2 linked regions of the Lonchura striata genome follow. The protein of the gene in region 1 purifies or fractionates together with the protein of each later gene. This does not show direct contact. Links are inferred from orthologs where the notes say so. Each region holds a gene or a part of one and is shown on either strand. Other genes may lie near its edges.

Region 1 (15,395 bases):
GTCAGGAGCTGGGGAAGGGCCTGAACAAAATCATGGATGAATTCCTGCTGCAAGTTCCAGTGAAAACAAATTCCCCCAATTATTGCCAGAATCAGCACAGGGAGAAATGAACTTTGTGAGAGTGTAGAAGCAGATAAAGATAAAAATAACAAAGTCAACCTGTCCTTGAAAAGAAAAAGCACTGAAAACCAACTCTGGACCAGCACTGCTCAGGAAGTCCAGCAAGGAGCATCCTTGGAGAGATCCCATTTCCCAGTGATGGTTTTGGGTTGTCATCACCTGGTACCAACACACGATGTCTCTCTCGGGCTCCTTTTCCCCATGCTGCCTCCTCCCTTCTACCTAATTAAACAGGATCTGTCTATCAATAATTGACTCACAGTCCCCTCACTCTGTCGAGGCCACAGCACAAGCAGAAGTTGTCACAATACTTTATCCTAATGATCTGGTGGCAGAGTGTTTGATCTAATTAATGCACACAATGAAATTAGTCCTTTTCTGGAGTACTGTAATAAGGAGACAGTAGTTAGAAAACACTGTCAAAAATAAAAGGATCCATTGATAACATATGCTACAAAGGATCAGATCCAGGAACTTCCCCAGTGGTTCCAGGCAAAGTGTTCTCAGTGTTGCAGAGTCACACAAAATCCAGTGAAGTCAGGATAAAATTGCCTTGATCAGTATCTGTGTGAATTTGTGTTTGTGTGGAAAGTCTGCCAGGTAGGCAGGATGGTTATTAACAGTGAAATCAATTTAGCTGCAAAAATTTAAGAAAAAGAAACATCCAAAAGGGCCTTTCCAAAAGCAGAACTACAGCAGAGAACAGTGGGAGTTCAAACCTGATCAACAGCCCTGTGCAAAAGGATATATTTTCTGCTTCTCCTCGTTGTACAACACATCTACCAGCTGGATGACATTTTTGTGCCGTAATCTCCGCAGGAGCTGGATCTCCCTGCAGGAATAGACAAGGAAAAAGTTACATTGAAAAAGCTTATTCCCAACTCCATCTCTTCCAAAATTTCACCCAAACTCAGCTTGATTGAATGGCTCAGAGACCTGAACTGAATCTTTTGTTTGTGGGGAATAAATAAGGTAAAACAGTGAGGAGCCACCTTCCCTTGGCTTGGGGAGGAGTCCCTTGAATGTCACCTACTGTCAGCTGTTCTGATTTTTGTCTCCAGGGATTTTGTACTTGCCCCAAACCACGGTTTAGTCTCTTTTGCATTAAACTCATCCTGCAAAATCCCACTGGATGCCAGCTGTGGAGAAACAGGCAGAGCAGGACAGTCAGGTCAGGGTGGTTCTGTTGGTGCCTGGCAGTGCACGTCCTGCTTTTCACTTTGTTCTGCTGCTGCTCCATCCTGGGCTGTGCTGAGCTTCCAAATTCTCCTTGCCAGCTCACTTCCAGAGAGATTTGGCCAGTGCTTTGAGCAGTGTGGTCACACTTCATCAGCTCAGCCACTGGGAAGCAGCATTACAAGGAATTCTGAGCACAGCTTTGGAAGTGAGAGCCCCTGCCCAAAGCCAGCTCAGAGCCCCTCACGGGCACAATTAGCAGCTCCAGTAATGAGCTGGGGCTCGCACAAAGGCTGAGCAACAACCAGGAGCTGCTCCTTGGAAAGAGCTTCTCTGATGCAGGAGTGCAAGGAGAATCCTTACTGATCTTTTACGGATGCCTGAGCAGTATGAATTATTTCACTACCAAAGTTAAGGCCAGAGACTTCTTTCTCAGCTCTGGATTTAGAAGAAGCCACCAAGAGCCGAGCAGAGACCCAAGATACCACAGCAAAACTCCCAAGTATTGTGTGGACATGGCAGACAAGTCTAATTATAGGAATGACCAAAGGGCTGAAGGGGATTAAATTAGCACAAGGAACAGCAGCCACTGTCAGTGTGGAGCTGAGGAGATCGTGCAGCATGAAAGGGCCGAGGGCTCCAACCAGGGCTGCCAGAGGGGAGCAAACCCACTCAAACACAACTGCTTTAAGGCCCAAGTGTTTGGAACACATTTAAAATCCTGATCCCAACAGCTCATTCCCTGTAATACAGCCCGGAAGCACAAACACTAATTCCTCCCACCTTCAACAGACTAATAAATATCTCATATTTCTGTAATGATTTTTCCCCCCCCAGGAGGCCTTTGCAAACCAGTCCAAAACGCCAGGGCCATGCCCCCACCACTGGGGCAGAGGCCAAGCCACCCTTTTCCCAGAGGAAAGATTACTTCTATTTTTAGCTCCTCTCTTGCTCTGGAATGCCTGAGGAGCAGGGACAGCCAGCCCAGTCACCTCCGATCCCATCTCACTTTGCAAACCCCTGGAGTAGGGGAGCACAGGTCTCACCTTCTCAGAACAGGCCTAAATTTGATTTTTTTTTTTCTTTCAAAACTACCAACAAAACTCCACCACAGCTCACTGCAAGTGTGTGACCAGACAGACTGCCAGAGGACAAGACCTGCTTCCAAGTACAACCCACTGGAAGGAGACGAGGGGGGAAAAGACCTAACTCGAGCTCTGTCAGATCCATTAAGCTCATCCTGGTGGATTAAGACTTATCCCCTGCAAGGTACCAGCTCTGGCAAATAACAGGGGGTGTTGCTGCTCAGAACTGTAAATAGCAAAGCTTTCCCCCTTGTTCCATGTGCCACACCACTTTGGAACATGCCAAAGGCAGCCAGGAAAGCAAACTTCCTGGACATCTCCACTGTGAGATCCAGCTTGTTCCGAGCCATTCCTGCCTCAACAAAACCCAGCAACACAGCCAAAAGATTCATTCCCTGCCTTTGGTTCCACAAGGTTCTTCCCACAACATCCTAAAAGCTTTAGAAGTGCAGCACCTCTCCAGGACTGTGTGAGCCCAAAGGCTGGAAGTGCCAGGAAGATTTCGGTGTCACTTTTTCTCTTTCCTAGTCCCAAGGGTCCATCCACATCCTGCTCCTGCAGGGATGTCTGGCATTCCAAGTTCTGTATCCATCACAATCTGTGCTCTTCCTTGGAGTACAGGTCCCAGCATTTCACCCAAGCAAACATCCAGCTGAGCAGAGGAAACCCTTGAGCCACACGGCTCCACGGGGAACATTTCTGAGGAGGAGGGATCAGCCCATTCCCTGAGCTCACACCTCCAGGGCTTCCAGCAAGTCCTTCCCCTGTTTGGAGGTTCCAGCATGGGACTTGCAGACCCCAGGAACAAACTGTCCCAGCACAGCCCCATAACCCAGGTTGACCCTCCGAGGAATTCCCAAGGAGCACAAATTCCAACCAGAGCAATTGCCGAGGTGGTAAGTACAGCACAGGGCACTTGGGATCCCACAGAGCCCCAAACACTTAATTAACGTGTCAGGCTATTAGCACACGGCATTATTAAACCTCTGTTGCTGCTGCAGCCACAGGCTGCCAGGTTTTCCTGCCTCTTTTTGGCAATCCCACTAAACTCCTTTTTTTTGCAGGGATGAGATTCTGCAGTGTCTGCCTGACTGAGCCACCTTCACCTGCTCTAAAGAGAAATGAAGATTCTCCCAACAGATTTAAGGAAACTGTGTCTTAAAAGTTCAAGCCCTCAACATCCTCTCCATGACTTGGAGAGCCCTTCAGGGCTCATTTTTCTGGGGCAGAAGTGGAGTATTTTGGGGTAGAGAAAAAGCATTTGATTTGATGTAAGTCCCAAACACATTTAAGTTGTAATTTCTGGGTCTCCAGAACACCAGGAGAGAGGGCTGGGGCAGAGATGAGGCTGTGGCCTGGGATATCAACAAGGAGTGACCTAAGGTTGGCATTATCATCCTATTTCCAGCCAAACATCTCCAGCTCAGACCTGTATGAGCCTCCACAGCTCATTACTGCACTCTCATTCCTCCCTGTGTGTTACTGCTTGTGGAATTACCCAGGGGCCACTGTCTAGGAACTGTATTCCACGGAATTCCTTGGATTACATGCTATCAGCACAGCTGAAGCAGCACTGAGGTGCCCTGTGAGGGGGCAGAGGCAGGAGCCCACCACAGTAACTCAATCACCTCTGCCCAACAACCCAAGCCTCATGTGCAGCTTTTCCCTGTGGTAGGAAACGCTGGAAACCACTTCAGTGATCAGATTCCAAAAGCGAAAGCAGAACCCACAAACTGATCCAGCCCACAAACTGATTTCCTGCTGTCCTGTGCACAGGAGCAGTTTTTGGGCATAAACTCCTCAAAGCTGCTCCAACACAGTGATCTGGCCATGTTGACATTAAAATACTGTGTCAGTGTCCTGTCCAGCACTACCTGGAGACTCCACAGCACCCTGTTCCTCCCACATTGACAACTCAGACACACGGGTTTGGTCACAGATCTCATACCCAGAGCAGACATAGGGTGCACTCCCTCTCACAGCAGTGCTGATCAGCTCAGAGTGCCAGGGGGACCAGGGAACCACAAAGTACAACAGTTTGCCTTAAAATTCCCCACTGAAGCAGCAGATAAAGCACACGGATAGGTGGGCAGAAGGAAAAGGATGAGGGAACAGAAATAAGAACTTGAACTAAAGTAAACCCCTGGGTACAAGGCAAGACCTAAAATCTGCCTTGGTGTTTTGGAGCAGGTGGGGCTGAGCCAGGAAACATCCACAGAAAGCCCCTTTTAATAACTCCCTTAATGGCCCATCTGATACTCACAGCCCCATTCTGGGCGTGAATAAAACCTCCAGGAGTTCACGTCAGGACACTGGAGCATTCCCATGGCTCTGAGAGCAGGGAACTCTCCTGATGTGGGCAAGCTCTTTTACCTAATTTACATTGAAAGCTTCCCTAAGGAGGAAACTATCTGCACGTTCCCCAGTGGCAGCTCTGGATGTGCCCGTGGAGGGACCCAGGGACGGGGCTCTCAGCCTCCACCAGAAAAACAAGAAACATTTTATTACACATTAACCAAGTTTGCTTGCTCCTGAACCTGAGCCAGGAAAGGAGAGACAGGGAGGTCCCAGCCTTGGGATGTGACTGTTCCACAGCCAAGGCTGTCAAAAAAGGTTGGAAGGCAAAGTGAGAGAGCACCCTGACAGCAGTCCCGGGACAGGATGTGAAATATCCCACGGCTAAACTGGGAAATCAAACTGAGGGACAGACACAGGACTCTGCAGGTCAGGGCTCACCCGCAGCAGAGCACCAGGAGAGTTTCCTCGACCTCTCGGAGCTCTCCCTCCCAGCCTAGATAAACCCTCATGGGTTGTTTGGGCTGCAGAGGCTCCTGCACAGCTGATAAGCAGCTCCTGGCAGGGCTGGGACGCAGCTGCTGCGAGGTCCAGGGAAGGGAAAGTTCCCACACCAGCCCCACGGATGCAGCCCCACATCTGGCTTCTCCTGGGGTTCACTTCCATGAGGGTTTTGTGCCCTGAGTAACCAGGTGTGGTGGAGGCACAGAGAGCTGACAACCCTTGGCCCCATTTTACAGCCACAGAAATCAGCTGGGGAGAGCCTTGAGTAAACTCCCAAGGATCTTAGAAATGAAGCCAAGGAAAAAACCCAAAACTTCCTGTGCCCATGGGGTGCCCCATATATTGGATCCTGTTCCAGCCACCTTCCACATGGGTGGGAGGAGGAATTGCCACCACAGAGATCTCCAGGGCCTTTGGAACACACCTGGGCAGATACAGGAATAACCCTGTGAGGACACCAAGTGTGTTTGTAAGGTCTCACCTTGCCCAGGTGCAGCTGGCTGGGAAAGGTGAGAGGACACAGAGGAATTGCTTTAAGAATCAATATTTTATCCATTAAATGACACCAAAGTGGTGTATTCCAGACTGTCCCAGACCTTGGGAACCTGTCCCTTCCCTGTGCCCAGCCTTACCCAGAGCATTGGCTGCTGTTCAGAGGGAAGAGATCCCTAAATACCTGTGGATTAGGAAGCATTTCCACAGCAGAGCCATGCTGTCAGCTAAAACAACACAGGAGCTCAGCTGGTAAGCAAGGACCAAGTTCACCCCCTCGGCTCCCAGAACTCTTTACTCACTTTTTCACGTTGGCCTCCCCATTGGGGATCCGGCGCAGCTTCTTCTTCTTCAGGATCTTCACAGCTCTCCTGCACAGGGTCTCTGAGTCCAGCATCTCCTTGACTTTGCCATAGGAGCCCTCTCCCAGCAGGTCTCCCATGAGGTACTTGCCGATGAGCTTGGCCCGTTTGCGCCGGGGCTGGTAAATGACCTCGGTGGAGTCGATGCGGTGGATGAACGTGTCCATCCCCACCGACATCAGCTCGCTCTCAGCAAACATTCCCAGCTGCTGGGGCTCCTGCAGATCCATCCTGGATTAAGTTCCTTAACCTGTTTTTTTCCTTAAGCGCTCAGGGCTTTAATCCTGTTTGTTAAGTTTCCAACACTCCCTTTTTACTCCTTCTCGGGAAAAAAATATCCAGAAGATTGTACAAACATGAATAATAATTAAAAAAAAAACAAACAACCAACCAAAAAAAAGAAGGCAAAAAAAAAAAACAACCAAACCTAAGAGCTGCTTCCAGGTCAGTTGGATGCCAAAAGATCCCGGCCTGGCTCCAGAACGTCTTTGAAAAAGAACATAAATCTGTGACGGGACACACTCAGTTTGGGACTCACGTTGCTTCCGACCCGGTCCCGCTGCCGGGGGCTCTTCCCAGTCAACTGGCCTTGACTGGGCCCAGTTTGATCCTAAAGAGTTAGGTCATCTCCAGGCCGTCAGGCCACCCCGTGGAACCAGAGCAGCTCCCAGTCCCTCTCGTGACTTTCCATCCCTAGGAGCTCATGATTCCCAGCTGGGGTGGGCAGGTGTGCTCCCACGGCCCGGGCGGGGTGCGGGGGGTTCAGCCGTTGGGGAGCTGGAACCAAGTTTCCTCGAAGGAGTTTTCCGAAACAATTCTTGCGTCTTCGCTGTCGCCTACAAAAGTTTGAGGCCTTCGGTGCCTACCGAGAGCTCCCGGGGGCATCCTTCATCCACCGGGATTCCGCCTGGCACATGATGTGTCACCGCCTCTGCTCCGGGTGTCAGCGGTGCAGGACGACACAACCCAGCCCGGCCCCGCCGACCCCGGGGGGGGTCAGGGGGACCCTCTGCCCCAACTCCCGGTTCCTCCCGGGGGCACCGGCCGCCCGGTGACCGGCCGCTCACGGACGGGGCTCAGGGATGCCCACCCGGCCCGGACGGTCCCTCCCGCACTTCCCACAGGTGTCACCGCGGCTGGCAGGGCACGGCGGGGGAGCAGAGAGGGGGGACAGGGGACGGGGCACTTTTCAGCGCCACAAAATCAGCGCCGGGACGGGGCGGACTCCCGGGGGAGGGTCGGTGACCTCCGGGCCCTTCCCAGCCCGGGCCGGGTCCTTCCCCGCAGGCAGCTCCGGCCGCTCCCGCCGGTCCAAACGGTGAACTAGGGGAGGGGGGCTGAGGGCCGAGTCCCCCCTCCCCGTCGCCAGGCGGGGGAGCCGGGCCGGGCCCCGGCGCCGCGCTCCGCCCCGCCGAGCCGCCGCCTCCCGTGTCCCCCACCAAGTTCAGGGGCCGCCCGTCAGCCGCTGCCCCCTGGCGCTGCCGCGGTCCCGTTCCCCGTCCCGGCCGCGCTGCCCCGTTACCGCCCGCCCCGCCGCGCGCGCGCCGCCGCCGCCGCCGCCGCCATCTTGTCCCCGCCCGCCCCCGCCGTTCCGTCCCCCCCCCCCCGCCCCGCTCCGCGCCTCGCGCCGCCCCGGCGCGCGCCCCCATTGGCCACGCTGTCGGCCCCGTCCCCGAGCGCTCGAGCGCTGATTGGTTGCGGCCGCACCACGTCGGGTTCCGGTTGGTTCGTTACAAGCAACCCTCCCACCCACTCCGGCCGGCGGCGGGGCGATATGATAGGTTAACCGGGCTGTCAGTCACTATTAGAGGCGGGGATTCACGTGAACTTCATATGTGATAGGCCATTGGAAATATCCGTCGCGACCGAGGGCGGGGCTTGCGTCCTGCGGCGCGATATGATAGGCTGCGAGCGCTGTCAATCACCGCTCGGAGGCGGGGCGGTGGGACGTGAAGGGTGGAGGGCAAAGGGCAGGCGGGAGTCATGGAGACGGGACCGGGCACGGAGCCGGCCCTGCCCCGGCGGGGACCGGCCTTGCCCCGGCGGGCTCCGGCCTTGCCCCGGCGGGGACCGGCCTTGCCCCGGCGGGGACCGGCTCTGCCCCGGCGGGGACCGGCCTTGCCCCGGCGGGCTCCGGCCTTGCCCCGGCGGGGACCGGCCTTGCCCCGGCGGGCTCCGGCCTTGCCCCGGCGGGCACCGGCTCTGCCCCGGCGGGCACCGGCCCTGCCCCGCCGCCCTCGCGGTCCGCCTGCCGCGCCCGGGTCGCTCCGCTGCCGCTTCGGGTTTGGGGTGGCCCCGCTCCCCCCCGGTGTCCGCTCGGTGCCGGCTGCACCTCGTCCCCTCCTGCCCAGCTGTGCTCAAGTCCAGCCAAGCAGCTGCGAGGGCATCCCCAAAATAACGGCGCCCGGCTCCAGCGCCCCGGGCAGACCCCGGCACGGCCCGGGGGAATGGGCTTCTCCCGGGGCCGCCACCCCTTCACGGCCCCGGCCGCCGCAGAGACGCTTCTCCTGCGGGCACCCTCCGGGGGCTCGGAAGGATCGGGCTGCACAACGCTGCTCCCCCCGCAGCGGCGTTCAGGGGTCTCCTCCCGGTTTCACCGGATACCGGAGTCCCCTGTCCTGCTCGGGGAGTTGCGGTAGGACAGCTCCGGCCTCTGCCGTGCCTGCTCCCGCCGGGAACGTCGGTAACCGGTGCCGGTAGATGGGGTTTGTGCAGTGCCAGCTCAGAGGAACCGCGATGCCCCTGCGGCCGCCTCCTGCCCCGCTGTGAAACCCTTTGGCGAAAGGGATTCAGCTGGGATTGCAATGGGGAGCACCAGCTCCCAGAGCTGACCAGTTAATTTGAGGCAGGGCAGGACAAATCCCTGAATTCTTCCTTTCCATGAGAGCCATTAGCTCTGCATGAATTCCAAAGCACAGGTGGGAGAGCCCTGAGCCCGTTTTGGGGGGGCCTGGGCAGGATCAGGGCCCCCTGGGTCCCCAAAGGGTCAAAGCACTGCGACGCTCCAGTTTGTTCAAGGAATTTGGTTTGTTCAAGGAATTTGAGCCTGTGAAGGTTCGGGAGGAGGTTCCAAGGGCTCCGAAGAGGGAGTGTAGAGGAGGGGGCTGCTCTGCCGAGCTCTCCAATCCCGCTAGCACCGCCTTTCCCTCCTCCCTCAACGGCTTCTGTCACCACAGCCCCTGGCCCTGGGTGATTTATTTACTCCAGGCTTGGCGCCGAGTCCAAAGTTCTGGAACCCATCCCCGAAATTCTGGTAAGTGCTGTGCATCCCCTTCCCGAGGTGTTCCCAGCAGTGGGAGGGCAGAATCGGCTGGAGGAGCTCCTGGCACTCCACACGCTGCTCCCTGCCCATCCCACTGCCTGTTCTGCTCCCTCTCCCACCAGGGTGACAGAACGATCCCCCTCCAAAGGCAAAATCCTGCTCGACTCTGCAGGAATGGGTCACTGGAGCAGGGCAAGCCAAGAACTCACATGGGGTGTCCCCAGGTACCCCCAAACCCCTCAGCCTGTCCCACATTGGGGCTGTGGATGCATCAGGCAAAGCCAGAGGCTCTTGGGTTTTCCCAAATATTTGCACCAGCATCCAGTGAGGACGTCACAAGCTAGGGGAACTGGCTGACACCTGCCAAGCTTGTGGCACATGGGGCACTGCAGGAGCTGTCCCCTCACCCTCCACAGCCCAACAACCCGGCCAAGGGGGCACAGAAGGGTTTATTCAGACATGGAATGGTTTTGTGGGACCCTGGCACCCCAGCACGGTTCCTGCCAGGTCCCATCCATGCCCCCTGCACAGCGCCAGCCCCGCACTGCCAGGACCCTGCACAGGGCAGGGTCTGTCCCCTGGCTGCCTCTTCCCACAGCTCTGGGGGCACAGGGCCAGCTGGCAGCATGGCTCCACAGCCCTCACCCCACGGAAAGTCAGGGGATTTCCAGGCTCTGGGAAGAAACAGGAAGTGGCAGTGGGTGACAGCAGCCCGGCACACCCCAATGTGGAGCTGCTCTGCAGCTGAGCCCATGGGATCAGCGCCCAAAAACGCCCATCTTTGTCCCCATTTCCTGAGACTGGGTGTCTGACAGGGACCAGCTGCCTGGGAAGGGCTGTTCCTGGAGAAGCCAGGCTTTTTTCCAGGGACATTGCTCCTGTAAAGGGGCAAACAGACCAGGACACAACTCAGCCATGTCCCCACATCTTCCACCAGGGCAGGCACAGGACAGCCTCAGTGCTCCCAGCTCAGCATCACTTCTGCTTCATTGCCTGTCTTGGGGTTTCTGTGTGAATTGGGGTCTCGGCTGTGGTGGGAGGAGAAAGAGATCCTGGTAAGGGAAGTCCTGATTTGGTGGTTCTAGGAGGAGGCTGATTTGGTGCTGGATACATCCCTGTGTGTTCTCCCACTGTGCGTATTTATTTGTATTTGTGGAACACCAAATAAAGAGCTGGGGGGGAGGATTTAGAAGAAAGATCCCTGTAAGAAGGATGTTGGAAAATGTGGCAGGATTGCCTTGATTAATCACTATATGCAAATGAATAAAGAATGGGAGAAGCGGACCGGCACAGAACTTCCTGGTTCCCCCTTTGCCTCTGGCACACACCCAGCATTCCCAAGGACCCGGTGTTAATGTGGTTCCCATCTGCCAGTACTTCCTATCCTGGGGATAAATCAGTTCCCTCTGGCTGCTCCTGTGCTGGTGTAAAAACAGACCCATCCAGGAGGCTTCTGTGTGACCCCTCAGGATTTTGTTCCTACCTTGGGACTCCAAAGGTGGCATGAATTCAATGCAAGCAATGGGAAATTAAAAATATTAAAAGGCCCAGTGTGGGGAAAACGGGTGAGGAGCCTGGGATGGTCAGAGCAGGTAGTTCTCCAGCCCTGTGATTCATTTAATTCCTTCTGCCCCGGAGGCTCCCTCTGCCCCGTGGGTTCCTTCTGCCCCGAGCCTTTGCCGGTCTCCGGAGGCACGGGCCTCGCTGTCTGTTCATCACTCAGGGCCACCCTGGCCCGGTTCTCCCGTTCCCGCTGCCCCCGGGCCCGGTTCTCCCGTTCCCTGCTGCCCAGTCCCAATTCTCCCGTTCCCACTCCCCCGCTCCCGGTTCTCCCGTTCCCCACTGCCCCCGGGCCCATTTTCCCGTTCCCTGCTACCCAACTCCCCGTTCTTCCGTTCCCCGCTGCCCACTCCCGATTCTCCTGTTCCTACTCCCCCATTCCCGGTTCTCCCATTCCCGTTCCCCACTGCCCCGGGCCCGGTTCTCCCGTTCCCCACCCCCCTGGGCCCGGTTCTCCCATTCCCGCTGCCCACTCCGGTTCTCTCGTCCCCACTCCCCCGTTCCCGGTTCCCCCATCCCCACTCCCCCGCTCCCGGTTCTCCCGTCCCCACTGCCCGCTCCCGGTTCTCCCGTTCCCCACTGCCCCGGGCCCGGTTCTCCCGTTTCCCCACTCCCCCGTTCCCGGTTCTCCCGTTGCCCACTCCCCCGCTCCCGGTTCCCCCTTCCCCACTCCCCCGTTCCCGGTTCTCCCGTTCCCCGCTGTCCGTTCCCGGTTCCCCCGTTCCCGGTTCCCCCATCCCCACTCCCCCGTTCCCGGTTCTCCCGTTCCCCGCTGTCCGTTCCCGGTTCTCCCATTCCCCACTGCCCCGGGGTTCCCCACTGCCCCGTTCCCGGTTCCCCCGCTCCCGGTTCCCCCGCTCCCGGTACCCCATCCCCGCTCCCCCGCTCCCTGTTCCCCCATCCCCGCTCCCCCGCTCCCGGTACCCCATCCCCACTCCCCCGCTCCCGGTTCTCCTGTTCCCCGCTCCCCCGCTCCCGGTTCCCCCGCTCCCCCGCTCCCGGTACCCCGTCCCCACTCCCCCGCTCCCGGTACCCCATTCCCACTCCCCCGCTCCCGGTACCCCATCCCGGTTCCCCCGCTCCCGGTACCCCATCCCCGCTCCCCCGCTCCCGGTTCCCCCATCCCCACTCCCCCGCTCCCGGTTCTCCTGTTCCCCACTCCCCCGCTCCCGGTTCCCCCATCCCCGCTCCCCCGCTCCCGGTATCGCATCCCCGCTCCCCCGCTCCCGGTTCTCCTGTTCCCCACTCCCCCGCTCCCGGTTCTCCCCGGCTCCCGCTCGGTCGCCGCCTCCCTTTCCCCGGAAGCTCCGCGGCCCTCCCAGCATGGCGGACCCGGAAGCGGCGCCCGGCGGCGGCGGCCGGGCGGGAGCCTGAGCCGCGGAGCGCCCGGGACCCCGGCAGCCCGCCACCCCCGGACACAGGTAAGGGCCGCCCGCTCGCTGCCCCCGGGGCCCGCGCCTTCCCGCCGCCGGCCCGGTCTCTCCGCGGGCGGGGGCCGGGCTGGGGGGGTTCGCTGGGGACGTGGCCCCCGGCCGGGCCCGTCCCGGGTCCGTCGGTCGGTGCCGCGGGGAGTCCGGGGGCTGCGGGGCTCGGGCCGGGCCCGGAGCAGCCTGTGGGGACGGCGGGGCCGGCCCCGCTGCCGCCAGCCGTGTCCCCCACGCGTGTCCGTGCCGCGTGTGGAGCGGGGCCCGGGGCTGTGCCGGCACCGGAGAGAGCCGGAGGTGCTGCGGAGCCTCTGGAGCTGCGATCGCAGCAAAGCCCGGACCCCTCCAGCCCTGTCCGGATGGGGAATTGTCCCGGTACAGCCCGGGTGGCCACAGCCACGGAACCCTCGTGTTTCTGACTCCCTCTTCAGCTGCTTTTCCACGGAGCGCTGTGAAAACTGCACAGCGATCACAGAATCCTGGAGTGGTCTGGGTTGGAAGGACCTCAAAGCTCGTTCAGTTCCACCCCCTGCCATGGTCAGGGACACTTTCCACTATGCCAGGGTGCTCCAAGCCTGGCCTTGGGTTCCAGGGTTCCAACTTCCAGGGATGGGGCAGCCACAGCTTCTGTGAGCAATCAGAGCCTCAGCATCCTCCTCACAGGGAAGGATTTCCTAATATCCGATCCAAACTTCCTCTGTGTCAGTGTGGAGCCATGAATCCATCATGCACCGAGGTTCTGCTGTGGTGCAGCCCGTACTGGCCCTATTCAGAGTCTCTGCATTCTGGAACCAGTGATGTCAGACCATTAACTGGGCTGATACCAGAGGCTTCACCTTATTAAATACTAGTGCCAGGTCTAAAACTCCTCAGAGTAACCATAAATTCCAGTGTAAAGACTGTGGCTCCCCCTTAGCAGGCTTGATTTACAGTGGAAATGAGATGGGCAGGTCCTGCAGGTTCAGCACTGGCAACCCAAAGCTGGGATCCCAACCCCTGGAGGGTTTTCTGGTCCGTGCACTGGCCCTGGGGTGAGTCTGGAGGGCAGGAGGGTGTTGGCTGTGGTCGGCTGCGCCTCGCTGGGGCTGTTCCTGCTGCACATCATCCTCGTGTCATCCAAGAGTTGAGCTCGTCCTGAGCCGTACGGGAATGGCTGAACCAAGAGCAGCTGGTGGTGGGAATGTTCAAGTGGAAAATGGTGTGCTAATACTGATGCTGTGGGGTTGGGAGTGCTGTGTGTCCCATGCAGGTTTTGCAGAGCTCCATAAGCTGCCAGCTGGAGCTTTTGGAAGCCTGAGCTCTGCTATCTCTGCCAAAAGCTCTTTACTTGATGAGGGTCTGTTTTTTGGATGTTTGCACCCTCATTTTCCTAAAATAAGCCTGTACCCGTCTCATTCGAATGTTGCTGGGAGGTTTCTGCACAGGAGCAAACTGCGCTGGGACTTGTCACCATGAGAGTCTGGATCCTTCAGGAAAGCCTTCCAGGCCTAATTGGGAGGTTTATACTCTCCTGAAACACTTTTCTGCTTAAAACTTAAAACTCTGATGTCTTTTTTGGTTACACAATCGAGGTCTGCACAAGTGTGGGTGTGATCAAAGTGAACACATGCCTCTCACGGAGCAGGTGCACGTTGAATCTGCCTTAAGGCTGCCCTAATCCGTAGGGAAGTTGGCTTTGATGTCCTGAAGTGGTTTTTCTACCACGAGTGGCTGTGTGTGAAACAGAACGTTGGGACCTGCTCAGGTCCAGAGGGTTTCTCCCAAGTGTCTCTTGGGAGAGAAACTGGGGAAAAAGTGTAAGGAATCTGGGACCTGCATTTTCTTGGCTTCTGACCTTGCTTAGCCAAGTTTTTTGTGGAAGAGGAGCAGCCCCAGTGCTCCGAGAGCCCTGCTCAGGCTCTGCCTTGTGCTGGGGAGTGCCCAAAGCCCTGGTTTTGGGAATATTCCATGGACCCGGTGTCTGAGCCACTGCTTCAGCCCTAGCTCTGCCTTGCAGGGATGTGTTTGTGGTTTGGGAATGTTGGTGCTGGATGTGTGAGGGTGATGCTGGATGGATTTACACAGGAATGTGCCGAGTTCCTTGGCAGAGCGTGGGTGGTGTCTGGGAGGCATTTTTGCCCTGTCTAGAAATAGTTCTATGTGTTCTCCCAGGTGGAAAAGCAGGGATAGGTGGAATTTATCTCTGGGGGGCAGTTAATATTTTCTCCTAAAGGGTACTTTTCCCTCCAAAAAACTGTATTTGATTGTTTTTTCCTGTATGGTCTGAGTGTCAGACAAAGAGCAACAAGTACTGCTCGAAGCATCAAGCTCTTCCCTGTAGAAACTGCTGTCCTTGGAGGGCAGGTTTGTTCTTTTGCCTGCACTGCCACGGCGCTTGCAAGAATCTCTGGAATGATCCAGATTTTTCTTCCCTTTCCTTACAGACTAATTCCCTCAGTTAATTGGTGGCACGGATTGTTCCACGCTGCAGCTCCCTGTTGACTTGTGGTGCCCAGGCGATGCCGGGATTTGCCCTGGAGCCTGGCAGTGCTGTGCCCAGCTCCAGGGCTGCAATCCTTGTGTCCCAGGAGCCTTTTCCATGCTCAAAGCATTCAGAAGATCAGGGTGGCTCCAAGTGCTGGCTTAGGATGCCCTGAAATGATTCCATTTTTGTCACCCATAATACGCGTTTTCCGCTCTGGTGTTCTCCTTTGTGTTGGTGACGGGACTGAGTCCTATTCCCATCTACTTGTTTGGTCTGAACTTCCCAAAAATACATCAAGGAGAAGCATGAAAGAGGAACTTGAAGGTGCCTGGGTGCTTGAGAAGTAAAACTGGCTGTTCAGAGTTCCGTAGGGTTGACTTCCCATTTCTTTGGGGCAGTTACATCCAGACTGTATCCCGCAGAATTCCCTCCGGCTGCAGCTTTGGTGGGTGCTCATGAGTGAGTGGAGCAAGGTGGGGACATTTTGGGGCTCCACCTCTGCTCTGTAGGGGTGGGCAGAGTGAGGGGAGCTGAACCCTGAGCAGGAGGAAGAGCAGGATCACATTCCCAAGGTGTTTTTGTTGTTCCCAGCACGTGGTAATTCATGATCGGCAGGTTTAGCTCGCGCTGCTCCAGGCATGTCTCTGGGTT
Region 2 (16,212 bases), on another chromosome or scaffold:
ACCTATAGCTGTTTTCTTCACATCAAAACTTTTTCTCACATAGAAGGAATCTCAGCATGCTACCATAGAAATACAATAACGCACACCAAGTACAAAAGCAATTTTTACAATTAAACTAACAAGGTCCTTAGAAAGAGTACATAACTAAAAATCCCCATGAGTCAGAGCCTTTCGGGCAAAATGGAAGGTGGAAAGAAAAAGGAAAAAAGCTATAACTAGGTTTTGGATAAAAGAAACATGTCATACAAATTGCAAATGGTTGAATTACATTACATGTACAAGTGATTGCATTGTTTCCTAGAAAACCAGCGTTTCAAAACACAGGAATATCTAGCTGTGGATTGGACAAGCCCCTTTCCACCACAAGAAAATACTACATTGCCCAAAGGTACGACCTATTACAAAATAAGATTATTAAAGAAGAACATTCCAGCTGTTGAGAGGTACTGAGCAGTATTACTGAACAAAACACAACAAAATTTCAAGCACTCAGTCATTAAAGTCTTAAACACTGCTTGTTTACCACACACCTCACTCACAGCAACTTTCCAGGAAAGTACTGGAAATAACATTCCATGCAGAATACTTCAAAGCAGTTCAGATTGTTTCTGTAATGGGAAACAATGTTATACTTTCAAGTAGAGCTTTAGGCAAATTAAAAATAAAATAGAAACTAAAAATGAGAACATTTCCCTTCACCTTTCCCTTGGTTTGCATGCCAGTTTCAGTCATTTTCAAAACATGCCATAGCACAAAACACAGAACTGCACAGGTGCTATGACCACTAAATACATTCTGAAGGTGTTCACTACAGTGAACAATACAAATTTTGGGTTCGTGGATTCCAGGGTCTTTACATTTAATCAAGTGCTTCTAACCTTATGTTCCATACAAACTTTGGGGTGAGACCAAAAGTAAAAAGCTCTAAAATAACTTCAAGTCATTTAATTTTTTGTTGTGTTTAGTAGACCAATAGTAAGGCACTGCGAATCTAAAGTTACACTGAATAAACATGTAGTGAACTTAGCTTGACTGATAAAAAACCAAACATCAAACACACCTGAAATGTGAGGAGTGCTTATCACTAGGCCAAAAAGAAAAAAAAAAGGCAGATTTTTGTCTTCTACATACAGCTTGAAATAAAGGTCGTGCTTTCCAAACTCCAGACACTCCTTGAATGTGAGGCTACAGAAGAATTCGGAGGACACAGCAATATCACACCATGAACACTGAACAACAAGTGTGAAAACTACCATCATAGACTTGATATCAAGTTCCTCACAGACTTTCAGCAGGTGTTATCATATTGCACACCCTTAAGATCAGGCTTGCTGCCAGCAATGTCAGCAAGAGTACATTTTAGAGCTGTATGTATGAACAAGAATTAATCATAACAGAATCCTAACCTACCAGTTTTACTGAGACTTTGCCAACTGGGAAGCACAATGATGATCCAAGTGCATCTCACCTATACTACACTAGCACTGCCCCATTAGGTACAACACATGAAGTTCATTCTAACTGAAACAAAAACCTCCCACAGTACACTGATTGCAGTGAGGTATTTAATTTCAAAAAAATATGCTATAATGGCATAGAAAATTTTGTCCTGAAAGCTTAGTTCACTATGTGGCTTCTGCAATCATGATTCTTTTCAAAGCTAGACCACAGAAATGAAAACTAGAGAAAAACCTTAAGACAAAAAAGTGCAGTGCTTTAAAGGTAGTGCTGTCAAGATCTGAACAGCAGTGAAAACTGCTATGGCCACTACCACTTTTTAAACTTATCTAGGTTGGCTTTCTTAATTTTTTACTCAAGTAGAGCATTAAAACAAAGATAGTCTAAGCAGTTACCTTGCAGTGATTTGCAGGAAAACATGCTTCTAGCTGCAATCTCAGCAGTTCTACCAGCTTTAAACAGGACAACACTCCACAAGTACAGAATATATTCACTTGCAGAAGGGCTGAGCTTGAAGATAAATAGCTCACCTAGAGGCAAACCAGGATTTGATTCAAGTTCCTTCAAAAACCACTATTAACACCTCCTTCCCCCTTCAATCCTAGATACTAAAGCACTTCTGCATTCTTTTTGGGAAAACTTAAACAACTATGATTGTGCAATAGCTGACTGACCTTTGTGGAATGAAATTCCACATTAAGATTTTGAGTTGAGATCAATTCAACAGGACAAATAGGAATTTCTGTGGAATCTTCATCCCTGCTCTAGTACCGTGTGGGTCACTTCAAATGCAAGCTGCTCAGACCTCTGAGGTCTCATATGTCATAACATAACATAACAAGAGCTTCTGAGACACAAACTCTTAAGTTTCATTAGCTGTAGGTAAGAAAGACAACAGCTTTGGATAAGCACTTCAAAAAAACCCCAAAAACTTACAGACAGGACTAGCCAGAAAGAAACATTTCAGTGACTAGGACTACACTGTATCTCTTACAACCTTTGTTTTCAGTACGCTGAAAGTGGTGCAGCGATGTATTGACACTGTATCTTATTCTATCCCTGGAGAAGCTTTATTGAAGGTAAGATGCCAATGCCGCTTAGGAAGAAGAGCTCTGCGTGCACTCTCCATGCTGCTCACTGGGAAGTCTATTCCAGTGCCCAATCCCTCTCTGGGGGAGGAACCCTTTCCTAATACCCAACCTAAACAAGCAGCAGGCCTTGAGAAAAGCCCTAAATCCGTCTTTACAGAATACTCTTCTAAATTTGATTTCCATGGCAGATATGCTCAACCACCCATTGAACAAGTCAACACTGTCCGAGTTGACACAGATCTAGAATGTTCATCTCCTTCTCAGAATTACTAAGTGAAGAAACAATAGTATGCAAAGACTTAACTGTATTTTCTCATGGAAAAAAGCTGTTTGGCTTTTTTTAATGTAGGAAGATCAAGCTCTTTACTACATCTAAAACCAATTTGTATATACAAATGAAGCTTTTGTCAACTTTTTTTTTTGGACAGCTTTTGTCAGTTCATAATTTTGATTAACATATGGCAGGACACTGGAGCTGACCTGTAAGTTGGCTGGTTCTCTGTGTGACTCAGCTGCCCTAGTTCATCACTACACAGTGAACAGCACCACACACCCACAAAGAGCTGGACACACCTGAATCACAGGCTGTCACTCTGTAAATTCTCCCACAAACCAGCTCAGGACACACACCCAAACAGCTCTGTGTCAAACCGTACAGTCCATTGAAACCAACTCAGCAGCAGCAATAAAACTTGAAAATAACTATGGGATGTTGTTCGTAAAATTTTATAGCATCTGCATTTATCAATGCCATTAAGAATTTTAGTTAAGAATCCAGGACATCAAATTTGTCAAAACCTTTTATTAAACCTACTTCTTCTTGCTGACATAACATCAAAACTCACCTTCCTGCTCAACAAAGAATGAGCTCTTATTTTTCCCAGTCATTCCAAATGGCAAAAATTCACAAGTAGTCTCCCTCTTGCCTATTTTCTGCTTCTCTCTTGGGGAAATGCACTTTTTTGTTTGTTTGTTTTTGTCCACAAGAAACAGGAGTGACAAACTTTGCCAATATCATTGACTGCAAAACTGACTACAGCCTTGCTGGTCATTGCAGTGTAGCTAGTTCACACTATTGGCACCAAAACTAATCTCTACAAATGGAAAAACACCCACTGGTCATTTAATGGTCCAGGAATTCTCCCAGCAAAGAGAAAACTTATTTTAGGAGAAGATTAATGCATAACAGCACAAGGTTCATAGTTCCCAGAGATTCTTGACTGCTTGCTAATGCAAAGGATTTAGAACACCTACCTATGCAAAGTAGAATCAAGTCACCGTTTAGAAAGTGAAGGTCACTTGTTTGCCTAAGTTGATTTCAAGAGGAAAACAAATCCTTTTATTGGGTCATTTTATAAGCAAAACAAACTAAAGAACAGGCTAGGTAATCTCCTTATTTGCCGTGTTCTCATATCCCTTTTTGACAAATACAAACAAGCACATCAACTATTTCAGGCAACTGAAATTCACAAAGAACACGAAAAAATAGGAAATGCAGTTCTTAAGAAACTATTGACACCCGACATGCTTTCATTCGTTAGAAAAGCCTCCACAGAAGTATATATATAATAAAAACTCACCCTGCTCTGCTGACATGTTGTCAAACAAAAGAGCACAATTGCATGTAGGTGATCTTGCTGTACTACATTTCTCCTAATTAACTGCCATTCTTCAATTTTGCTATTTTTTCCAATAATGGGTAAAACAGTGTCATTCATTTTAGGCGTCCCCATTTTCTTACTCTCTCTGACACTCCATGCTTTGTCTCTAAAACTGAAAAGTTTGTTTTGTCATAAAGCAAAGAATTACAAAATCACTCAGCACTGTGTTTTTTCAACAGAGAGGCTTTTGTTTAAGCTTACTAAGCTAGATATGCTTTAATAAAACACGTGTCATGAAACTAGGAAAAGATGAATCCATGAGGAAGCTATGATTAACAAGGGTAAGTGGAAAAATTAATCACCTAAGACTGCAAACTCACCATGTTTGCATATGTAATAGCAGAGTGAAAGCATTAACACAGTAACAAAATATGTATGTGGAACACAGACAAAATTTCCATTCTCTTTCCCAATGCCCACATAAGACAAGTCATGGAGGCAGTTTGTCTACATGCTTCCCCAAGGATCGCAGCTCTAGGTTTAGAAAATACAATACCAATGGCATACAACAGGAAGGAAAAAAACTCAACATCATTCCTTATCAGATGCTGAATACATTACCAGTGTAAGTATCCAGTCTTTTTTCCAACAGTTACAAGGAATATTTAATACCAGGTGTTCTTCTACCACAAATTAACCATCTATAGTCACAAAATAGTTCCCAAGGCAACCATAATTCCCTCAACCAACGCACACCATTCCCTTTCCATTACTCTACATTCTGCTAAGTGAGTGCTTGCTGCCTGAGACACCGCACAAACAACTGTGTGCAGCAGATCAGAAGAATGGGCAAGGTACACAAATCAGCAACACCTACATGTTTAAACTGACACTTGTAAAATGATACGTACATGAGAATTTTATATTACACAGTTGAGGTTTTTGGGTTTGTTTCATTTTTTTTTCCATGGGAAGATAGCTTAAGCTCATGTTCCCACTGCCATGTTTATAATGGTGGTGCTAGCTGATTTCTTTTTAAGACTGGATAGAGGAAAAAAAAAAACCAAACTTGTCCACATACAAGTTATGAAGAGATCCTTCTTCCCTTGGCAAGTTCTGAGTCACTTATGCTTCCATTATAATTTTAAAAGGAAAAGAAAAAGCTGAAACTCCTTATATGTCAATGAACTGATAATTATACACTAATAAAAAAAGCACCTGCTACAATTTTATAGGACTTAGTATGAGCAATATCCTAGCAATACCTTTATTGCACAGTTACTTCAAACACCATCATTTGCTACTTTGTGTGTACACGAGCAGCAGTATTACTTTCCCTGTATTTCAACTCCTTCTGTGCTCTATGCCAGCACTGCTGCTAAAGGTCTCCTGTCCGCCTTCAGCATCTGCCTTTTTGTTTCCATCCATTTTCCCTCCTTGTGCTAGCAAACATCTGTATAACTGAGAGCTGCAAGAGCAACCCAGATGAAGGAGCCAGGCAGGAACAAAGCCATCCAAAACCAACTGTAGGTTGTCACAAACCCATTTTCTCCATGCCACTGACAATGGTGTCCAGCCCAGGAAGAAAACAAGTCAGTCCCTAAAAATGGGGATTCTGTAGGTACCTAGAACGCATACAACAGATTAAAGCAGAGCCCAACACCAAGGGCATACCCCTCACATGGGCAGCACGTCCAATAGCAGGATAGCTTCTGAAGGGGAGTGATGCACAAATTAAGGAGCTGCCAACCTACATCCAGATCTGGAACATGGGAATCTCTACTTCACATAGCTTTGCACCCCATGACTAAGCGATTATTTTGTTAGTCTCCCTCTTTCTTGTGCAAGAATATTCCTTTGCAGATTTCTAATGTTGTCAGGTGAGCAAGCCTAGTCACAGGCTGTACTGAAAGCCACATGTTGCTTATCAGCTTTCTGAGCAACTGAGGAAACCAAGCTATTCATCTAAAAGGCCTGGCAAAATACAAACTTTTGAAACAAGAATTCAAGAAACATTTTCCACTTCTCTTTGGGAGCTCCTGAAAATAATTATAATAATAAAAAACCTGAAAAAAAAATCAGAGTCTATCTCCTAGGTACTTGCTATGAAGAGGCCCACCAGACCCTTGCACTGCTGTAGTGCACAGCCTCTGCAGGACATTAGGATGTGCTTCTCACAGCATGTGAGCACTACCTCTATAGCACATATAGAGAACAATCACACCAAGTGACAGATAAGGAACCACAGTTTGTTGCTGAAGCAGAAATCAAAACACAACCCCTCCAATCTACCTTAGCTCTGATGTAAGGGAACAAGCCAGTGTAAGGGAAAGGAACCTAAGGGGCTTTGAGGGTTTTTCCAAATCTAAAATAAAATATATTGTAATTCACAAGATAACAACATCTCTAAGGCTGAATTCTGACAGTACTCTTCATCATCACCTTTCTTATACACCTGTGGTTTGCCGGTACTCCACCTGAAAGCATTTAAAACTTCTCAAGAATCCTGACAGAACTGTTCAGAGCCTTTAGTTACAAGCAATCTGAGCTGGACATCAAAGTATAAGCAAACCAAACTTCAGCAGATAGTTCTTGATATGTAAGCTGAACAAGCAGCCCTGCATAACACACTGCTGTAGCTTATGCCATCACAACAAGCATAATGTACATTTTTATCCCATTAGGAAGGCTGGGCTGCGTTTTCAAACACACTCTCCAAGCCAGCCTGTAAGATTGTTTGGCCTACAGAGAAATACAACCACACATCTCTCTCTAGGTTGGTGCAACTCTGTACAGGGCATGTAACTAACATGTAACTCAGTGATAGAGGTGTAAACTGGATATCCTGACAAATAATAATTTAAAAAGAAAAAAACACAAGTCTAAAGCATTTTATTTCACAAAAAGATTCCACTGACAGAAGAAATATATTCAGCTGATATCCTACTATTCTTCTTGCCTCCAATATGCCAGCAGCTATTGTGAAGAAGATAACCACATACTCAAGGATTGAGTAACCTGATTGTTATTGCCAGTTTCATGTAAACATTGCAAAGAACACTTCAAGTTATTTTTCTATAGTCAGTATTTCCTACAGCAACCTTAATATATTTCAAGAAACTGTTCAGAAGGATGAAACTAAGGAAAGGTAATGAAAATATCTGTCCTTTCCTCACCTGACATCTTAATTCTGAGAGCTTTCCTCCTGATTACAGTATATTTCAGTGGACAGTTTCATGTGGTCTCAATGCCACAGGCTTTCCAGAACCCAAATCCTCAATATCAAGCATAATTAATACATGACATGCTTCAAATTCAAGCCACAAACAACTAAAAACAATCTGAATACTGATATACCTCATAACAAGCAAGATGGTGACAAGAAAACTGGGACTAACCCAAAAGATGGTCTGGCTACATTCACAGAATCGTCAAGTTTGAAAGGCACCTCTGGAAATGATCTTGTCCTACCTCTCTGACAAGACAAGGCCACTTGGCACAGGTGACACAGGACACAGACCACAGAGATTCCACAACCTCCCAGGGCAGCCTGTTCCAATGCTCTGCCACCCTCAACATAAAGTTCTTCCTCATGTTGAGGTGAAACTTCTTGTGTTTTTGCTTATAGCAATTTATCCATATCCTGTTGCTGAGCATCACCAAAACTCTGGCACCATCCTCTTGGCACCCGCTTTTGAGATATTTATATGCATTAATGACATCAGTCTTCTCTAGACTAAACAAGCCCAGCTCCCGCAGTCTCTCTTCATACGAGAGATGCTCCAGATCCCTTATCATCACCGTGGCCTCCACTGGCCCCTCTCCAGGAGTTCCTTGTTTTTCTTGTGCTGAGGAGACCAGAAGCGGACACGTTCCCTTGGAGCTGGGGGCTGTCCCCAGCCGGGCAGCGCACGCCCAGGCCACAGCTGCGCGCCGGCACGGGGTGAGCTGTGGAAGCACCGCACCCGCTCCGCGGGGCACAGCCGGAGCGCGCATCCCGCTGACACAGCCGCGGCGTCCTCACCCCCCGGGGCCGCGCCCCGCTCTTCCCGAACTCCGCATGCCGGCGAGCCGCCGGGCCCCGGAGCCGCCCGACTCGCTGCCCCGGGCCGGGGCACCGGGCCCCGCCAACCCCGGGCCCGGCGCGGCGAGCCCCGGCGGCCGCCGGCCCCGCGCGGTGCGGCCGCTGCCCCCGCGCCCCCCGGGCCGGCTCTCACCTGGCGGGAGCGGCCCGGGCCCGTCAGCGCCGGCGGCCGCCGCCGCATTTCGAAAGATCCGCCATTTTCAGCCCGTCACCGCCGCTCCCGCCCCCGCCGCACCTGCCCCCGCCGCCCCGCCCCGGCGCCGCCCCCGAGCCGCGAACCCCAGCCCCTTCCGCACCGGCGGGTCCCGCGCAGACCCCGCTCCGAGGGGGAACCGCGCCGCTCCGCGGGGGAACCGCGCCGCTCCGCGGGCCGCCGCGCCCCCGCGCGCAGCTGGCCCCGGCGAGCGGCGGGGAGGCGACGCGCCAGGCGGGCACCCCCGCGGCGGAGAGGCGGCCGGGACCGACTGTCCGCGCCATCCCGGGGAGCCCGGCCCTCCGCAGGGAGAGCGCCCGGCGAGGCCGGGCCTCTTCCTTCCCGGCGGGAGGTGGCTGTCAGCCGTGCCCGCGCCCCCTTCCCTGTCCTCCCGCCGCCGCTTTCCCGCCCCTCGCACTCACCGGGCGGGCGGGCGCTCTTCTTCTTCCTTCGCTAGCGGCGCCTGTCGCCGGTGCCGGCGCCCCCCGGTGCTGCTCCCGGCGGCCGCGGCGGCGGCGGCCGCGCCCGCGCCGATCCCGCCGCCGCGTTTGTTCAAAATCACGCGCCCCGCGCCATTCCCCCGCCACATCCCATAATACCGCGCCGCCCTGGCAACCGCCGGCGCAGCGCCCCGCGCTTCCGGGACCGCCCCTCCCCGCCGTCCGCTTCCGGGGCCGCGCGCGGGCGCCACCCGTGGAGGAGGAGGCGGCGGTGGTCCGGCCTCATCCCACTCGCGGTGGAAATCCCGTGGGATCCTTATCTCCGTGGGATATCCCCCCCCCAGCCCAACCAACCGCGCGCGGGGCCGGCCCGCCCGCGCCCCTCCCGCGGCCTGCGCGCGCTCCCCGTCACGTGACACGCGCGCTCCCCAACCCCCCCCGGCGGCGCGCGCGGCTCCATGGTGGGGGGAGGCGGCTCCCAAGATGGCGGCGGGCGCGGTGAGGCAGGACTTGGCGCAGCTGATGAACTCCAGCGGCTCCCACAAGGACCTGGCGGGAAAGTGAGTTGCCGGCCGCCTCCGCTGCCGCCTCCCCGCGTTGGGGCGAGCGGTGCGAGCCGCCCGCGGGGTGTGGGGGTGAGGGTGGGTCGTGTCCAGCGGCTGCGTTTTCTGGAATAAAAGAGGAGACAGAAAGGTTTCACTTCATGGCTGTGTGGTTTTTTTCATTCACGGGCTCCCAGGTGTCCGCTCGGCCTCCCTCAGGGCTCTGCTGCTGCCCCTGGGTGTGCCACAGCGAGAGGCCGGGGAGTTTGTTTTCCTCTGCTGCCGTGTGTGTGTCAGCGACCCTCCTGTTACTGTGAAGAATTATTACCTTTTCATTAGGCGCCTGTTTTGGACAGGGGTTGGGCTTCTCGTGGTGCGGTGTGTCACATAGGTTTTCACTCCCAGGGTGCAGTCAGAAGCGGATCTGTCACCTGGAATTCTTTGATTCCCTGCCCAGTTGCTTGTGTTCTAGGGGGGCTGTGTCACTTGTAGGATTTTCGTGTAAAACCTTGCAAATTTTCCCCTCAAAACGTGGCTTCCACGTGGATGTAGTACTTCATCGGTGTGACACACACTGAGGAAAAGTTTCATTAGCTTGCTGAAACAATAAAACACAACTTAGTGTTTTTTGCAAAATAAACTCTTGAAAACACGTGGGGTACACCTGTGTTGGTGTCACGTGGCTGTAACAATATTTATCACAACACTATTTCTCAGTCACATTGAATATGGCATTTTGAACATTTGATTACCTTGATTAATCTGAATCTATGAGCAATACAGTTTTCATTATTTTTTCAATGTGCTATCCTGGGCATTTTATTATTATTATTATTTTAAACTTACAAAATTGCACGTATGTTCTTAGATAACAAAATTATTGAGCTCTGTCATCTGAGAATCTAGTCCCGGGATTTAAGAAGAGCCAAGTACCAATTCCAGGTGAATGTTCATGACACTTGGGAGCAAACTGGAGAATTGCCATCTCAAGGTATAGGAAATATGAGCAAAAATAGGGCTCTGACATAGAAAGTACACAGAGAGTCAGAAGCTCTTAGTGAAAAAATGTGTGGTTTTTAACACCTTTTTAAAATTTATTTATGGACAGGTACCGTCAAATATTGGAAAAAGCCATTCAGCTGTCGGGTGTGGAGCAGCTTGAAGCTCTGAAAGCTTTTGTAGAAGCAAGTAAGTGCATAAGTGGTGTGAGTGGTTGTACAGTGAGTGAAGGCCAGAGCTATGTGGGGTTGTGTATTTGTGTCTGTTAGCTCTACATGAGACTGTGTAAATGCAATGTACTTTTGTCCTGTTGGAACTCAAACACAACAGGAAGAGGAACCCTCATCACCACATCCAGAAGTGAAGAGGGAATGGGTTTGTAAGCTTTGTGGTTATTACAGCTTTCCAACCTGTCAGCAGTGAAAGGTGAAAACAAAGCAGTCTCTCTTGAGTGCTGAAGTTTATACTGGATGCCAAGTGGTATTTAAACTGACAGCCTCTTTCTTCATCCATTTGTAAAACTGCCAAGAAATTGTTAGGGGTTTTGTTTGTTTGTTTGTTTGTTTGTTTTGTGTTGTACTGGGTGTCTGGCTTGTTGAACATCTCTGTAAATTATATCTGCTATAATTTTTAAAGTTGAGAATAATCTCAATGAGCTTTAGCCCAAACAGGTACTTTGTCCAAGATATTTCAGTAACCGAGGACTATAAATCAGATGAAAAATTAATTTATCTGCCAGGAGTTATAAGTCTGGTGACCTCTAGTGTAAACAGTTTCTGAAAGAAAAGAATGACCCACCTTTATAAAAAAAAAGAAAAAAAATCCCCTTTGTTTGCATAGTTTTTAAAATTTAAATATTCAAATTAAATGTAAAAGCAAATTATCACCTGTAGTGAAGGCACTGCAAAATTTTGCCTCTATTCTGTGTTTTTCTTCTGTGCATCTCTGAACCAGTGGTGAATGAGAATGTCAGTCTGGTGATCTCACGGCAGCTGCTCACAGATTTCTGTACACATCTTCCAAATCTCCCTGACAGCACAGCCAAAGAAATTTACCACTTCACCTTGGAAAAGATACAACCCAGAGTTATTTCATTTGAAGAACAGGTGAGAGATCAATGGTGAGATGGGTTTTGGCTCATGGGTTTGGCTTTAGTTTTTCCCCTCCTTGTCTGCTGACTATTTCAAGTCTTTCAAAAAGCTGCTCAAAACAGCTATTTCTACTTAGAGTCTGGTTTTTCAGTCCTGTACATGGAAAACCTGAGCTAAATGCAGAGAGCACTTAGGACTGTGCAAAGATTACAGGCTGTCACTTTATCATGGTGATGGACACATAATTCCTCTGCTTCCCTAATTGGCTTGTTACAATGAAAAAGTCCTTGAGCTGGGGGAGGTGTCTGGAGAGACAGGCTGCTACTCACTGTATTGCCTTTTACCTGAGCAGTAGAACAGACAGGTGGTGTGAAGAGCATGCACCTTGAAAAATAGCTTTTGTTTCAAAATAAATAAATTTTCTCTGTGTGTTTATTTTGGCCATAATCATTTTATCAGGAAAAAATATTTTCTTGGAATGCAATTCTGCTTAACTACTGAATATGCTGGTTTGCTTTGTCAGTTCAATTCTGTGTTTTGTTGTCCAAATGCATAGTATCATCTGAGAGTTCTTAGAGAAATTGTTTATATAAAAAGGCCTTAGGATCTATTATTGGAGTAGAAAGTCAAGGCAGTTTCTGCCATGATTTTTATTTGCTTCTCTTTGTCTTTTTTTAAGGAGCTTTTACTCTGAGCTAAACAGGCTTGCATGTGATTCACCATGTGATTCATTCATCATGCATAAATTAAATCCAACACATCAGATGATTTCTTTTTTTTTACCCACACTTCTGGTTAAAAACCCAGGTTGTAAGCACTAATACTTTACCTGCTGACAGCTGCCCTCCAAAGCAGAAGTTTCTTCATTAGGATCTAATCACACATCACCTCATTCCTACTTCACATGCATGATTTGAGATGTAACTGCAAGAAATGGCTTGTGATTCTTGGTGTTCCAGTTCGTGAAAGATTTGTTTAATCTTTTTAAAAGCTTTATCAATGATGATTACTTTTGCTGTTGATTTTATTGTCTTTCAGGTGGCTTCAATAAGGCAACATCTTGCATCAATCTATGAGAAAGAAGAAGACTGGAGAAATGCAGCACAAGTGTTGGTGGGGATCCCTTTGGAAACTGGGCAAAAGTATGTTATACCCAGTTCTGTGGGGTTAGCTATACCTGCCCTCTCTGTACTGAACTAAACCTGCAAGTGAGAATTTTGGGGTTTGCTGCACCAGAAGTTACCCACTATTATTTATTCTTCTTGATAAACAAGTCTTTTTGATAGTACTTTTGTGGAAGTGTTTCTAAAGTTACTGAAAGGTCCTTGGAAGGTGGCAGTTTTTCAATGCGTCCACCTTCTCAGTTCAGAATTAAGAGATGGTTTGAAACCAGATTTGGATATTAACCAATGTAGTTGGGGATTCTTTTGTGCGTTTGTGAGGTGAGGTGTGTTTTAGTTTAGTTTGTTTGGGTTTTTTAGGTGTAGAACCCTTGCAGTTAGTTTTCTCTTGTCAGTCAGTCCTTTCCCCTTTCTCATTGTGCACATAGAAGGAATTGCTGTAGGTTTTGCCTGTTTGGACCTATTTGTTGCACTGCAAGGTTGATTCTTAACTCAAGTGGCTCATCACTGGTGGCAAACTTCAGAAAAAACTGATTATGAGAGTGTACATTTGTGTCTTGGTGGGCATCATTATTTCTAGTGGTGTTTGCAGGAGCCAGTTCTGTATTTGCATTCATTTCAAATTTCCTTACTTTGTACAGAAAGCACTAACTTGGCAGTAGGGAAGAAGAAAGCAGGGTAAAGCGAATGTTGCCCAGTGCTTAAGAATCATAACAAATGTTAGAGCAGCTAAGAGCAAAGGTAGTTCTGGAACAACTCTGAGACTTGCTTTTTTCTTTCTTCTACAGGCAGTACAATGTAGATTATAAGCTTGAGACCTACCTGAAAATTGCCAGGCTGTATTTGGAAGATGATGACCCAGTTCAAGCAGAAGCTTACATCAATCGAGCTTCCCTGCTTCAGAATGAATCAACTAATGAACAGCTGCAAATCCATTATAAGGTTGTCTAACCTGCTTTATTACTTTCTCTTTCTAAAGGGAAACAATTCTACCTTGAGGTGTTTAATGCACTGCCACTAGAACTTTCATCATGAGAAAAGAGACAAAGGGAAAAGCTATATGGTTTTGGGAGCTTGAGAGACACATCTTAACAGTTATTAAACAGCTCATTCCTTACCATTTGGAAATAACTCTGTAATGGTTCCATAAATGCCAGCTTTACTGATAGAAAATAAAAACTAGGCTAAAAAAATCTGAAATATTGTTGAAAATATTGCCTCCACCTTTGTCTATAAATATAAGTGGGGGGAAAAAGCTACAAAAATATTAGAGACAGTAGTACCTCCCACCCCCCACTAATTAAGTGTCCCATACATAAAAGTAGCTTAAAGTCTTAAGTAGTAAATTGACTGCTGACATTTCTGCTTTTTTGTGGGTTTACTGTGTACATAGTTCATACACAAATTTCTCAAACCATTTTAGTAACTGATGAGCAGTAATTACAACAGTGTAGCAGAATTGGTCAAGATGTGGTAATGTTTAAAATTCTGTGACACAAAGCAGATGTGCCATGAGCAGTAATTCAGCATTTGGTGGTTTTTGTTTGTTGACTTCCCTTTCCTTTTTCCTTCATCCTATATAAGGTTTTGAAGTGTGCACTCGGTTGAAAGTGTAAATATTTTCTGTGAATCTTAGAAAAGCACAAAGAAAGGAAGAGCTATCAGGTGATGTTCCTGTGCTGAAAGGGAAAAGCAAATACTTGAAACATAAATGGCTAAGGGGTAGCTGTCTGTGCCAGTAGTGAAGGGGAAACTCACACAAGTGCAGTATCAGCTGTACAATATTTCAATTGCTTAGGCTCAATACTTGGCTTTTCAACATTTGCAATGTTTAACATGTGAACAGTGGTGGGAAATGTCCTTTCAATTGATTTCCCTGATACTTTAGCAAGGACTTGTCAAGTCAAGCTAATTCTTTGAAGGCACACATTTCCCTAGGACGCAGAAGAGCAATATTTATGGGAGCAATCACTTGACAGTGTGCACATTTTACACACCTGTGTTATGCAGCCACCTCTGCTGCTTTTCTTTTTCTGAGCTGTCCTTCCTTTCTAGGTTTGCTATGCTCGAGTACTTGACTACAGAAGGAAGTTCATTGAGGCTGCCCAAAGGTACAACGAGCTGTCCTACAAGAGCATAGTCCATGAGACTGAGCGGCTGGAGGCACTGAAACACGCGCTGCATTGTACTATTTTGGCATCAGCAGGTAAAATACACCTCACATTTTTGTGTAAAAGGTATTTCCCATGAAACAAGTCAGCTTGTGTATTATTTGTATGACTAAAATTTGGTGAGGAATCCAAAGCTGTGAACACGATGTCAGAATTACGTGTTGGCAAACTGTTAGCTCAGAGTTGGATTAGTTCAGTGTCTTTGCCTTTGAACTGAACACAGCCAAATTCCTTCTTCAATAGAGCTTTGTGGGCTTTTATTTGCATGCATTGGGGAAAAAAGGTAACTTCCTCCTGTTTACCTCTAAGTACTTAGTGTTTTGGTGGTCAGTTATGAGAATTCCTCTTGACTTTCCTAGGACAACAGCGCTCCCGCATGCTTGCTACTCTCTTCAAGGATGAGAGATGCCAGCAGCTTGCAGCCTATGGGATCTTGGAGAAAATGTATCTCGACAGAATTATCCGTGGAAATCAACTGCAAGAGTTTGCAGCTATGCTAATGCCTCATCAGAAAGCAACTACAGCTGATGGTACACACTTCTCTAAAACCTTGTAAGGCTAGATGTTCATCCATGGGAGTTAGACTTCCCAAATCAGTCAAGAAGTGTCATGGAAAAGAATTTATTATTGCTTATATCATCATTTAAAAAATATTTTTCAGCATGTATAATTATATAGTAAAGCTTCTTAGATGTAGTTCATCTTTCTGATTTGCCATTAAGGTTTTGAAATACTCTTCTGGAAGATAACTTGTCACATTTTCTTTCCCTGTCCATGTGCAGTCCTCTTCACTGACAACTTCCCAGTGTTTCTGATGGAGTATCTGTCCTCGCAAGCTTCTCAGGCACTGTTAAGAGTAGGGTGCCTAGAAACCTGTGACATGCATGCAGGCCATAAATGGTCTGCACTGATGATACATTTATTGGAACTGGTTCGTGACTTCACAGGAAGGTGACGTGGTGAGGGGATGGTTTGGCCCTTGCATACGTCTCCACTGACATGCCACTAAATCTTGAACATCTGAACAGTCAGAAAAAGTGTCAAGTAATGGCTTAGCTTGTATCCTAAACACTCTGGTCTCAGTTTTCTAGCTTGGAAGAATGTGAAAGTGGAAAAATACATAAGCATTAAATACCTCTGAATCAGGAAAACCTTCCTAGTTAAAAAATAGTTATTGATTAGGGAAAATAAGTAACCATGTACTTGCAGAAGTGAAAACTGTGTTAAAGGTACTTGCTAGCAATATGCTGCATTCCTTCCCTTGGTGACTTTGTTTATTTTATAACCTGTACTGTTTGTCCTTAAACAATGCAGGTTAGCTGGTGTTTAATAATACGCTTATCTTCAGCTGGAGGTTAAGGAGGAAATGAGTTATACTGTTGAAAACTGTTCAGTCAAAGAGAGAGACATCAGATAAGGGT

Evidence for each region.
Region 2: the proteins of STK11 (region 1) and COPS4 purify together in Homo sapiens (affinity purification with mass spectrometry; 4 studies listed by BioGRID and IntAct, with this or other methods). This does not show direct contact. The link is inferred for Lonchura striata from reciprocal best matches to the Homo sapiens genes STK11 and COPS4.

What each region holds. Positions count from the first base shown.
Region 1 is NC_134630.1:6,448,813-6,464,207, forward strand, and holds the start of STK11 (serine/threonine-protein kinase STK11), read right to left. Parts: upstream 7,183-15,395; 5' UTR 6,265-7,182; coding exon 5,975-6,264; intron 953-5,974; coding exon 869-952; intron 1-868. UniProt on the Homo sapiens protein: Tumor suppressor serine/threonine-protein kinase that controls the activity of AMP-activated protein kinase (AMPK) family members, thereby playing a role in various processes such as cell metabolism, cell polarity, apoptosis and DNA damage response.
Region 2 is NC_134606.1:60,963,482-60,979,693, forward strand, and holds the start of COPS4 (COP9 signalosome complex subunit 4), read left to right. Parts: upstream 1-9,264; 5' UTR 9,265-9,350; coding exon 9,351-9,427; intron 9,428-10,517; coding exon 10,518-10,597; intron 10,598-11,362; coding exon 11,363-11,514; intron 11,515-12,537; coding exon 12,538-12,641; intron 12,642-13,408; coding exon 13,409-13,562; intron 13,563-14,675; coding exon 14,676-14,826; intron 14,827-15,150; coding exon 15,151-15,321; intron 15,322-16,212. UniProt on the Homo sapiens protein: Component of the COP9 signalosome complex (CSN), a complex involved in various cellular and developmental processes.